Nothobranchius furzeri: one gene and its partners. The protein of the gene in region 3 binds, or shares a complex with, the protein of the main gene of each other region. Links are inferred from orthologs where the notes say so. Each region holds a gene or a part of one and is shown on either strand. Other genes may lie near its edges.

What was found.
Region 1: pole (region 3) and pole4 share a complex: the UniProt entries of both Homo sapiens proteins name them as parts of the DNA polymerase epsilon complex. The link is inferred for Nothobranchius furzeri from reciprocal best matches to the Homo sapiens genes POLE and POLE4.
Region 2: pole (region 3) and pole3 share a complex: the UniProt entries of both Homo sapiens proteins name them as parts of the DNA polymerase epsilon complex. The link is inferred for Nothobranchius furzeri from reciprocal best matches to the Homo sapiens genes POLE and POLE3.

Annotation. Positions count from the first base shown.
Region 1 is NC_091748.1:55,970,085-55,973,904, reverse strand, and holds pole4 (DNA polymerase epsilon subunit 4), read left to right. Parts: upstream 1-1,502; 5' UTR 1,503-1,624; coding exon 1,625-1,861; intron 1,862-2,054; coding exon 2,055-2,139; intron 2,140-2,898; coding exon 2,899-2,940; intron 2,941-3,081; coding exon 3,082-3,095; 3' UTR 3,096-3,313; downstream 3,314-3,820. Other genes in the region: serine/threonine-protein kinase NIM1, read right to left, coding at 128-149. UniProt on the Homo sapiens protein: Accessory component of the DNA polymerase epsilon complex. Participates in DNA repair and in chromosomal DNA replication.
Region 2 is NC_091749.1:66,564,642-66,568,827, reverse strand, and holds pole3 (DNA polymerase epsilon subunit 3), read left to right. Parts: upstream 1-1,470; 5' UTR 1,471-1,658; coding exon 1,659-1,724; intron 1,725-2,544; coding exon 2,545-2,630; intron 2,631-2,761; coding exon 2,762-2,880; intron 2,881-3,196; coding exon 3,197-3,366; 3' UTR 3,367-3,679; downstream 3,680-4,186. UniProt on the Homo sapiens protein: Accessory component of the DNA polymerase epsilon complex. Participates in DNA repair and in chromosomal DNA replication.
Region 3 is NC_091757.1:45,294,760-45,298,751, forward strand, and holds the start of pole (DNA polymerase epsilon catalytic subunit A), read right to left. Parts: upstream 2,830-3,992; 5' UTR 2,656-2,829; coding exon 2,588-2,655; intron 2,479-2,587; coding exon 2,349-2,478; intron 2,277-2,348; coding exon 2,196-2,276; intron 2,101-2,195; coding exon 2,056-2,100; intron 1,985-2,055; coding exon 1,892-1,984; intron 1,820-1,891; coding exon 1,665-1,819; intron 1,588-1,664; coding exon 1,443-1,587; intron 1,362-1,442; coding exon 1,281-1,361; intron 1,183-1,280; coding exon 1,075-1,182; intron 988-1,074; coding exon 877-987; intron 804-876; coding exon 718-803; intron 561-717; coding exon 441-560; intron 348-440; coding exon 215-347; intron 131-214; coding exon 17-130; intron 1-16. UniProt on the Homo sapiens protein: Catalytic component of the DNA polymerase epsilon complex. Participates in chromosomal DNA replication.

The DNA of each region.
Region 1 (3,820 bases), on a different chromosome or scaffold from region 3:
CATCAGTCTTACAAATATTTTAAAACACCAATACATAAAGAATAAAAGCATTTTACTTTCTTAAAGGTGAGTTAAATGATAATTATATATAGTTAAATCAAATATAACATAAATGAAAGGGTTTTACCTGGGAGCTGTGGGTCCTTCATGTCTGTTCCCGGAGGCTTTGACGCCGGACTGTGTCCTTACGTGTGAAGAGATCCTCAGAGGGCTAAAGCACTCCTCCCAATCCTATTAATACTGTGTATTAGTGGCCTGATCATCATGTCCTCTGGCACAAACTGACCTCATAAAAATGCTGAAAACATACTTTTGAAGACTAAAGCACCTATGTACCTAAGCATATAGCACATAATGTTGGTTATTTGTTGGTGATTATATTAAAACAGCTGTTCTTAGAATAAACTTCATCTGCATACGAGTTTTAAACAAACGGTGAATATGATGTTCGTTAATTAGGTAATACTGTATAACTTCAGGAAAATCTTAATTTTTGTGATTGTTTGTCCTAAGAAATATATTTTTACAGATAGTTAGACCTATATGGAAACTATTGCCCTACAGATGTCAAGGAAGTAAAAGGTCAAAATGGCATTTATAAAAATATATATATATATATTTGGACTATCAGAGGGGTGTTGTGTGTAGTCAGTATTTAAACAGAGTTTAAGGCAGCTAATTTAGGAAATGTAGTCAGTTTCCCCCCCAGCAATCTAAATCCAGCAGCATGACTAAAGTGATGAGTTACTCAAATTTACCCTAACTGTAACATGTTTTATCTGAGAGTATAAGGATGGATCCTGGTCCAGAATAACACCAAGGATCCTGTCACTAGTACTGGAGGCCAAGTGAATGTCTTCAAGCTGTGATCTTAAAACTCTCAGGTCCAAAAAATACAGCCAATGTCTTCTCTGAACATGGAAATAGAAAAGTAAGAGTCTTTCAGGTCTTTAAGACATGTTTGTAATCTGATTACCTGGTTGGATTTTGTCCATCTCTTGACAATGATCAGCTAAGAATGATGGAGGTGGTGATGATGATGGTGTAAGCAGAGATTTAACAAAGAGACACTATTTCACTTACACATACTTTTTTCCAGAAACGTAAAATTGCTATTGTGATATAAGGCTCTTATCTGCCAACATTGTACTTTAAAAAGTAAACTGCAGGGAATTGATTTCAGTAGTTTGGTGTCTTCAGCGCCTTTTACCGCCCTCCAGTGGACCACTTGTGAGCTGACCCCAACTTATTTTTACTGTTTTTAATTTCTCATAATGTAGAAAAATAAAAATCACAACATTAAAACCTCTAATGCGTGAATTAAAACTAGAAATATCGCCACACAGCGTCACCAAATTGTACATTCACTCCAGAATCTTGCTGCTACATATTTTGACTGACGTCAATTCTAACCAATGACAAGGCATCCTTTAACAATTGTCCAATCACAGACGAGTATTTGTTGGCGGGGTCTGAGCTTTTGACCAATAAACACCATTCGCTCCACGATGTACCGGAAGCACATGCTGGCTCGAGGCGGTTGATGTTGTTGTCTGGGACGTGTAAAATGAGAGATATTCGAGTGTTTTTATAACAGCAAAACACGATTGTGAGGCCATAGGAAATGTCATCAGCAACGCCCGTTCCCTCGGCGGAGCTCGAAGCTGAGCGGTGCGGGAGTGAGGAGGAGAACCGTGCTGTGGAGGCAGAGGACCGGGGTCAGCAGCTGACAGGCCCGGCCGTCGTGCCCCATAACCGTCTGTCCAAACTCCCGCTGGCCCGCATCAAAGCTCTGATGAAGACGGATCCAGACGTGTCCTTGGCTAGCCAGGAGTCTGTGTTCATCATCGCTAAAGCTACGGTAAAACGGTTTACTCAGTAAGAAGGTCAATGTTTTCATGTCACGTCCCCCACGTTTTATCTAGAATAAACCTTTTAGTCCACAAAATAGTTAATATAAACCAATTGCCATTGTTTAATGCAAAACACACGTGTTAGTTTCAGGTAAAATACACCAAACCTACAAGTTTGACCTAATTTTCCCTTTTTTCCAGGAGTTGTTTGTTGAGATGATTGCCAAAGATGCTATGGTGTATGCTCAGCAAGGAAAGAGGAAAACTTTACAAAGAAAAGACTTGGGTAAGAGCTGAAACATTTCAAAGTGACTTCAGAAATTGATTCCTTTTATTTTGATACATTTTTTAAAGTCATTTTTAAGAGTATTTCGAAATTAAGAATACTTCTAGCAACATAATTTTATAGAAACAAATATTGCTACATCAAGAGGAGCCAGTTAAGGTGGCTCGGGCATCTGGTTAGGATGCCTCCCTGGACACCTCCCTGGTGAGGTTTTCTAGGCATGTTCAACTGGGAGGAGACCTAAAGGAAGGCCCAGGACACGCTGGATGTTTTTGGGCTGGCCAGGGAACGCCTTGGGATTACCCTGGAGGAGCTAGCCCAAGTGGCTGGGTAGAGGGAAGTCTGGGCCTCTGTTTAGGCTGCTGCCCCAGCGACCCGACCCCGGATAAGCGGACGAAGTTGGATGCTACGTATTTGTGTATCTCCATGAAAAGTGGAAGTGCTAGAGAATATAATGACTTTAAAAGTCATGTTGTTCAAAACAAAATGGTGATTATATATAAAGAAGGAAGCTTTAGTTAGGTTGATAGAAATCACTAAGTGCCTCCTGATTTTTATTTCGAGAGGCACTATATAAAAGCTTGTTTCTTCTTCATTACTCAGTAGCTAAAAAGCAGTATTTATGTTAATAATAATGTTATAATTTCATCTGGTGGAGAAAACACTTTAAACAGGCATGAAGTGATTCAGTTTTAACAATATTAATAATAATAATAAATGAAAATATTAATTGCACACTCTTCTACTTTTCCTCCACAGACAATGCAATAGAGGCCATAGATGAGTTTGCATTTCTTGAAGGTAAATCATAAAAAAAGACATGAAACAATCCTGCAAAGTTTTGCAAATTATTCCATGTCATCTTTTGACTCTGGTATTTTAACTTCACCCACATGCAGATGTGTTTGTGTGTCTTATCATGTTGACCTCTTTCCTCTACAGGAACACTGGATTAAAGATTTTTTATAAGACCACATTAAAAAGATCCTCAACTGTCTAAAATGTGTTTCATTGTTGAATCACAGAACATTTTTTCTAAGTCAACCTCACAGATTGATTAAATGTTTTTATATGACAAGCTCTAACTTTGAATTTGTCTGATATTGTGTAAATGGTTTTGTAAATATGTGAGTAATGTTACTGGAAAATGGAATAAACTTTTGTTTTAACAACACATTTTCATCTTGTGTGGAAACTGCAGAAATATACAATTCCCAGTAATGGAGTTTTTAACAGAATTGTACAATTATAACATAATTAATTGAAGGTTGACTTTTTTGTTTTAAAAACACTTTTCTTTTATTGGTTGGATAAAATATGCAAATTTTTTTAGATAGGGATTTTGGGTTTTCATGAGCCGTATGCCAAAATCATCAATATTAGAAACAATGAAAGGCTTGAACTACTTCAGTTGTGTGTAATGAATCTAATATATATGAAAGTCTGTTAATCTGTACATTACAGAAAATAATGAACTTCATCACAATATGCTTATTTTTTAGAAGGACCTGTATCTGCTGTATTTGGGATCATTGTCCCATTTCAGGACCCAGTTTTTCCAGGTGTGGCAAAACAATTTAGATTTCAAATGTCACAACAAACTTGGCAGAGATGACAAAGCTGCTAATAACAACTACTCTTATTAGCTTATCTTAATTTACACAAGTTTATCATATAAATG
Region 2 (4,186 bases), on a different chromosome or scaffold from region 3:
ACCGTACGCATTATATTAGGAAAACTGTTGTGATGAATAAGTACGAATCAGGAGGGCTTAACGTCCTAGACTTTTCTACTTTAAATAACACTTTCAAAATTAACTGGGCTAAACATTTTCTTAAAAACCATACCTCTATCTGGAACCTTATACCATATCATATTTTCTCTTGTTTTGGTGGCTTTAATTTTATTTTAAATTGTAATTACAATGTTGAGAAACTCCCTATAAAACTTTCACCCTTCCATAAGCAAGTCCTCTTAGCGTGGACCCTCATTTATAAACACAACTTCTCACCTCACAAATATCTTATCTGGAACAACAGAGATATTTTATTTAAAAATAAATCACTTTTCCTGGAAACTTGGGTCCAGAATGGGATCCTATTGGTGGCTCAGCTGGTTAATAAAGAGGGACAACTACTTACTTACATCGACTTTATTGCCCTATATAATTTCCCAATCAGTGTTCAGGAATTGTCAATGGTGCTTGGTGCCATACCCTCAGGGGCTTTAATGTTATATAAAAACACTGACAGCTCAATATCTACCTCAGTCACTCTCCCTAATCCAGTTGAGTCACCAATAGGAAAAATCTGCTTTTCTCTAGAACTTGGTAACAGCAATAAGAGAATACGTAGTTTATTACAGAAAGATATCGTCTCTCTCCCGTATATAATATCTTATTGGAACCGATATGTTCCAGATATCAAGTGGAAGACAGTCTGGATGATCCCCCAGAAATATTTTATTGTAAATAAGGTGAAAGAAGTCTCATTTAAACTTCTACATAAATGTTATCCAGCCAGTCATTACATGGTAAAATTTAAAAGGGTCATAAACACTAATTGTACTTTCTGTGGGGATCATCCAGAAACTGTGACACATCTTTTTTGGTGCTGTTCTTTTACACAAAGATTCTGGAAGGAATTTAGCAGGTTTGTTACTGTCCATATTTTAAGGGAGTTTTCTTTACGATGGGAAGATGTTTTGTTCTGTTTCTTTAAGTTCCCCATGAAGAATGATAAATGTTTTTTTTATGATAAATCTGTTAATACTTTTAGCTAAATTCTTTATTCATAAATGTAAGTTTACTAACAAAACACCAAATTTCTGTCATTTTTAAGCATGTGGAATTGTACATAAAATCAATATCAGAATCCACCAACAAAAAAAGCTCTCAAAACAATATATATGTGAATTTTTGCGTGTATTCTTATAATTGTTACTTTTTTCTTTTACCTCTGGCTTTGTGTGTTCATGTTCTGTTGTTTTGTATACTTCATTCGTTTCTATGTTGTATACTCATTGTTTGTTAAATAAAGTAAAAAAATAAATAAACGCTGACGTTTCCTCCTCCAAGGTCTAGCTCATCGACATATATACGTCTAGCTGCAGACTGTTATTGAAAATGTTGGCTGGTACTTTTAGTTTTCAAGACAGGAAGTACGTCATTCGCATCAAGGTCAAAGTTCATCGTTGACGCAGGCGGACTTGTGGTGGTTGAAAGCTTCGCGGGAAACGTCCCGAAACAAACGACGGTTTGAGCAGCGGCGCGCGAGCTTTTCACGTTAGAACGAGGGATTCGAGTCACGTTAACTACGCGCGCTGACATCTACCGGAGACTCGACCGGGGGGAAACGGAGTGGTTCGGGAGAAATGGCGGAAAGGCCCGAAGACCTAAATCTTCCCAACGCGGTGATCACCCGCATCATCAAGGAGGCGGTGAGTGAAACCCGCCGGGTCCGGGTTCCACCGGTTACCGTCTGATTCCACCCACTGTCCGGATTAAACAGACCACAGATCAGCTGTGTGTTCATTCAGTCCCAGTTTACAGTTGTTGTGGGTGTTGGTGACGTCACATGAAACCAGAGACGTTCACGGTTTGGCTCTTAGAGCTTTGGTTCATCAGATCTCCTCTGGTTGAGGGTACTGTTTCTAATAACAGCCCACGGAGATGGAGATAATTGCCTTCAGGCTACTGGCCCTTCAAACATGACAGATCTGTAAGAAGGATGAGAAATTAAAGGTAACCAGGGTTAACCAGTCCCTCCTGGATTTCACCAGCTTCAAGAAAAGTCTACAAAATACAATTTTACTTGCCCTTGTCATGTTCTAGAAAACAAAACCATTTTATAGTCAGTGACCAAAAAAAAAAAAAGCAATAAAAATCAGATTTGGGGTTTTAGATTCTGATCTAATAATTGCTGCATTTTGATTTAAAAGGAAAAAAAAATCTGCTCAAATTCAAAATGAGTCTGAATCAAAAATAACATTCAGATTCCGTTTGTTTGAAATGAGAAAATTATCAGTACTTCATATTTATTCCGGAGTTAAGACCTTTTAATTATAAGTCATCTCTAAATAAATCTGATAAAGTTCAGTGTTTTGATGATGAATCTGAACGATTTTGGTCATTTTTAAACGTTTTGACACGTTCATGTGTGAATTAGCTTTTTGTGAGTGAAAAAGAGCAGTTGCGAGCTGGCTCTGACTCCAGAGTGAAGCTCTGAGATAACTCCTCCGCACCGTTTGTTTCTCACAGCTCCCAGATGGGGTGAACGTGTCCAAAGAAGCTCGCAGAGCCATCTCTCAGGCAGCCAGCGTGTTTGTGTTGTATGCAACCTCCTGGTGAGGAAAAAAAGCCAATAAAACTGCATTTTTGTTCACAAGATCAAGCTTTTAACACATTTGTGACCCAGCAGAAAGACCTGGATGGTTCCCGTCAACGCTCCTCAAGCCAGTTTCCTTTTTCCTTGCAGTGCGAACAACTTTGCCATGAAGGCTAAAAGGAAAACTCTGAACGCGGGAGACGTTCTGGCTGCCATGGAGGAGATGGAGTTCGAGCGGTTCATGGAGCCTCTCAGGGAAGCTCTGGAAGGTGAGAACATCATTAAGAATAGTCTGTCAGAAGACATCAGCAGGCAGCAGATCCAGTTTGAGGCTGGCTCTGTCGGAATGCCGAATCATGATGGGGTTCCAAGGCCAGTTCCTTGGATTTCCCACTCTGGACGGACCGTAAACGCAGCATTCTTGTAAATGTGGTTTTCTTATCAGATTTTTTTTTTTTTTTTTGTGTCGATAGGAACTTTTTCACCCCTGAGTAAACACAGAAAAGCCATCAGGTTCAAGTTCCTGCTGAAGCTTCCAGGTGTTCCAGCAGCCGGACCAGCTAACAATGTCTTTGTTCTCCACAGTCTATAAGAAGGACCAGAAGGGAAAGAAGGAGGTTTCTGAGCAGAAACGCAAAGATAAAGAAAAAAAGGTTGATTCTGAGAATGACAAGAGCAGAGAGGATGACGAGGCTGATGAAGAGGAGCAGCAGCAATGCATGGAGGAGGAGCCTGAAGAGGAGGTGGAGAACTGAGGACTCCACCCACATCTTTGGGTAGCTGATGTTAGACCGGACACACACCCGTCCAAACTCGCAGGAAACAGTCGGCCCGTTTCTTTATGGGCCTAACGTTTGAGACTTTTGATCCTGCACCAGGTCACCATCCATTCTGACTCGTAGGTTCCCCTCAAACTTCTGTGGTTGATTTTGGACCTCTGATATCAGAGTGAAGACTTTCACTGGGTTCTGTTTTAGAATGAAATCCCAGTTTTTTTCTTTACCATTTGTACTGTTGTAGTCATTTATTACAAAAGTCCTTCAATAAAAGTTTGTAATGAAACCTTCAGATTTGTCTCAGATCAGACAGGAAGTCTTCCTGTTGCAGGTTACCTCCACAGCAGGGGCCTGAGGAAGAAGGTTCCTCTACAACACAGTTCAGGAACCCTCCAAGGATCAGTGACCTTGGACCCTTCAGCACACAGAAGTCATCTAACCACATGACCAGGAGTTACCTTAAGCACCATGTCCAAACCATCGACATAAATATACAAAAAAAAAATAAAACGATAAAATTAACAGCAGGTCCACCTCAATGGTCCAAACAGCCTGATATTGGCCCAACCCCAATACTCACACTGCCACACTAGCTCAATACTGACCCAGGTGTGTGAGGCGTCAATTCTCAATGGGAAAGCCGATCACGCCCGCTTTGCACCCTTGATCCGCACTTCACCCAAGCCTGCAGTGACGCAGACTTGGGTGGAAGGTATTACACACAATCCATCGCCGCAGGAACATCTGAAATGCTCATTTTCCAACAAAAGTTCATTTTAGGACATTAGTTAATGCTCCA
Region 3 (3,992 bases):
AAAATCTGAGACGAACCTCATCAGGCTCCATGGGGATGATGGTACACAGCGCAAAGATGAAGGGGTGAACATATTTCATGTACAGGTAATACGTGGCCACGGCGTCAGACACAGAGTAGGTGGCTAAAGTCTGTGGGAAAAGAAAAACAAATGTATTTTTAACTGACTAATCTTTTCTTTTATAGGATTTAAAACTCAAATCTTGTTTCTGGACCTGTGGCTCCTCCGTTGCCATGCGACACATCTCCTCAGGGTCCAGCTCCACCGGGTCGTAGCCCAGTTTAGCCTTGGCTGCTGCCTTGAGATTGTGACTTCCCACAGGTAAGTAGCTGTCTCTCTTTACCCACCTGGTAAAAGTTGGAATGAACGCGTGAGAAAACAATTCCCATTAAAATAATCAGCACACCTTGTCAGTAGGTGGGAGTCAGAATCATCCCCACCTCAGGCAGTCCATGTGGATGGCTTGGCTGGACTTGTACTCCCCCTGGCTGTCCTTCTGGAAACCGATTTCCCTGTGCATGCTCAGGCCGTGGTGGGCAGCTCGGGTCTCGACAAAAGGCCTGAAGAGGACCAAAAACACCCTCACAAAATAGAAGTTTCTAATAAACTGCTATTTTTAAAATTAATCCTGGATATTTTATAAAGTTTTTCCCCATTAACAAAGAATAAACGTGATTTAAAAACTGGGCTGTGAGTTTTTAATTACAATCAGCTCACCAGTCAAAGAAGTCTCCGTTGTAGGTTACAAATATGTTTGGTTTGGTCTCCTGAACGTGATCAAACCACCTCTGAATGAGACCAGCCTGCAACCAGAAACACTTTAATGCAAAAGCACTTCATACGGTAATAATCAGCTGAATCTGCACAGGTCTAGACCTCATCGGCCTCATTAAAAACAGTGAAAGGCCCTTCGTATTCCGGTTTGGGAGTGAACTCAAAATCCTCAATGTTCTCAGAGACAATCTCTCTGTTTGTGATCAGGAACCCCTGAAGAAATAAAACACGAGTTGGCAAACTGACGCAAACACGATGAGGTAAAGGATAACTTTGCGAACGGCTCTGTGTTAAACCCACCTGTCCGTCTATCATGTAGGAAATCATCATGATCTGATCCGTCTCTGCGTCTGGGAACTTCAGAGGAAGTTTGGTTGTCTCGATGTCAAAAGCCAAAACAACCGGGTCCTAAATATCCAAAAAAAAAAATTTCAATAATACAAGACTTAATGTAATCAGTGAGAATAAATAATGTGTTTTCAAGACAAAAAACAAAATATACGTACCGGGCGCTCCACAAGATCCTCTCTGCGTACGATCTCTGGCGGGAATGCGCTGCCACGGTAACGAACGTTGTACCAGTGAGCCTGAATGAGGCAGAGATAGCACAGATTATTACAACATTTATGTAAATAATAATCCAAGGTTTTATTATAAAGTGTCCTCACCACATGAATCTTCAGGTCGATGGAGAGTCGGACGTGGTAGGGCACATCGTACTCTCTCATGTCCACTATGTTCTCCAGCTGATCCACAATACTTTTCGACATCCCATCATCATAAGCTGAGGTGACGTTGCCACCTGACAGAGCGCTAAAACAACAAAATCCAGAGAACACTAGGAACGTGATGCTTTCAGGAACCCAGCAGACACAACAGATCATTCCTACCTTGATAACATTGAGGTGTAGGAGTCGTTGGACTGCTCCCTCTCTCGGTTCTTCCTTACAGCCGGAGCGATCTCACGCTTCACTTTGATGAGATCATCAACGGTGTTGAACGACAGTTTGATGTAGTTTCTCTTCAGGCCCACTAGATGGTTTGGCTGCAGAAATTGAGAAGTAGATTTTTAGTGCGTTGTCAACAATGGATCCTCTGACTGCAAACTAAAACTGACCAGATCCAAGTCCTCTTTTGGAAGCATCTCGAGTTTTGCCACCTTTCCTTGGAACTTCTTGGATAAGTATGAAATGACTTCCCTTTCACAGTTCTGAAAAGAATAATTAAGTTCTATAGGAATCTGATAAAACGACTCAAAACCTGAATCAAAATCAGACTTACCTTTCTAGTAGCAATGTAAAAATAAGGCTTGAAAGGAAGTGCCACCTACAAGGAGTAAAGATCAGGAAGAGCATGTCAGGGCAGAATAAACATCAATCATTAATATGTCATCCAGCATGAGGCTTTTTAAATAAACCAACCTTGAATCTGCTTCCATCCTCTTGGATGAAGTAGTAGTCTACAGCACTGATCATCCTCCTGTCCTCATCTAGGATCTCCGTCTACAAACGCGAACAAACGCGTTAAATGTCTCCTGAGACAGAAACCTGGTAGACTTCAGAGTGTGGACTCACAGGGTGCATGTTGATCAGCCAGCCTGTTTTCTCCCCGGGCTCCTTCATCCTCTCGAAGCCGAAACGAGCGTCCATGTCGTCAGTGAACTGGCTGCGCTCGAGCCGCTTGACGGCCGACGAGCCATCATCCCTGGTTCAGACAAGCAGCTACATTAGCTCTTCGTCTCATTTTGGAACACGCTGAAGTACTTCCACAGACACAATTACATCTAATAAACAGAAATTACAAGCGAACTTACTGGTTATCCACATCTGCTCCACTTTGTCCACGGTCCGCCCTGTACCGTCCGCTGTTTTGCAAAACCATCCTCTGATTCAGTTTTTCAGCTGCAACACCGTCATATATGTTTAAACAACCATTTGCTTCGCCGTAGGCGTCTAAATTATATATTAATATTAGTATTTTAAAGCGTTGGTCGTTCTCTGACAGCGTAGCCGACCGGATTTGTGTTTTCTGGATTTCGCGCGTTCCTGCAACTGCCGCGAGACCAGAGCAGAGCCGGAAGAACAAAGATCGTTTGTGAACAAAGATAAACACCCGCGCACTCTGATACGATCGCCGCACAACAACAAAATTAACAAAATACGTTTTAGTTAGGTTAACTTTCCAGCATAGCTACGAATTGATCTACTTGTAAGGTTAAATTGTGTGTTTTATCAGTAAATTTCAACACTGAAAAGGTCAAAGTTGCACTCCTCATCATGTAAACACAAACACACAAACTCTGGCAGTGTGCAAAAAACCATTAACTTTGTTTCCATTTATTGTAACCCACGTGTCTTTTATGGAACTCAAAAGTATTCAAAATTCAATATACAAATAAGACATTATGTATTAAAAATCTACATGAAGAAATACTAGACGATCATGTAATCTGACAATGAAATGAAATAACGGATTATGTAAAATCTAAGCTCAATATTATGAAATATTTTTCATTCTTTTACCATTCTGTTATTTCATCATTTTATTGTCAGATTACATGATTGTCTAGTATTTCTTCATGCAGATATTATTTATGTATTGAATTTTGAATACTTTTGAGTTCCATATACTAACTTCATGTAGCATTCATCACTTCCGTTTTTCTTCAGCTTGAAACTACACATTTAGAGGGTTGGTATTTTTTTTTTTTTTTTTACATATTTGATCTTTGATGGTTTCTGGGAGGAGCTTGAGAGGCTCCTCCCTCTTACGTGAACGTGTTTACTATCGCACTCGAGAGGAGAGGGTGCTGGTAGCGGTGAAAGAATAACACCGTCTGGTCTGGTGGTAGGTACTTTTGAAATTTGCTGCCTTGGAAATATATGAAACGGTTTATCGGCCACCATCGCAGCGTTTAGTTGCATGAGGAAATGCGTTTTCAATCCGACAAACACAGAGCCTTATGTGAACATATGTGACAGTTATTCCCTTGACTTGTGAAAACAGCGACCATATGGTCTTATTTTTGGAACGATGACTGTAAAGTGATCCGAATTTAGAGTTTAACAGACCTCACTGGAACCATTTACACCCATTCATCTGACAACTTGACCTTTAAATGGCCTTGTTTTCAAATTAGGATCAGAAAATATAAGGAAAAAGAAAAATTGGAAGGAAAAACACCTTCCTGCTAAATTTACAGATAAGGGACCAGATTG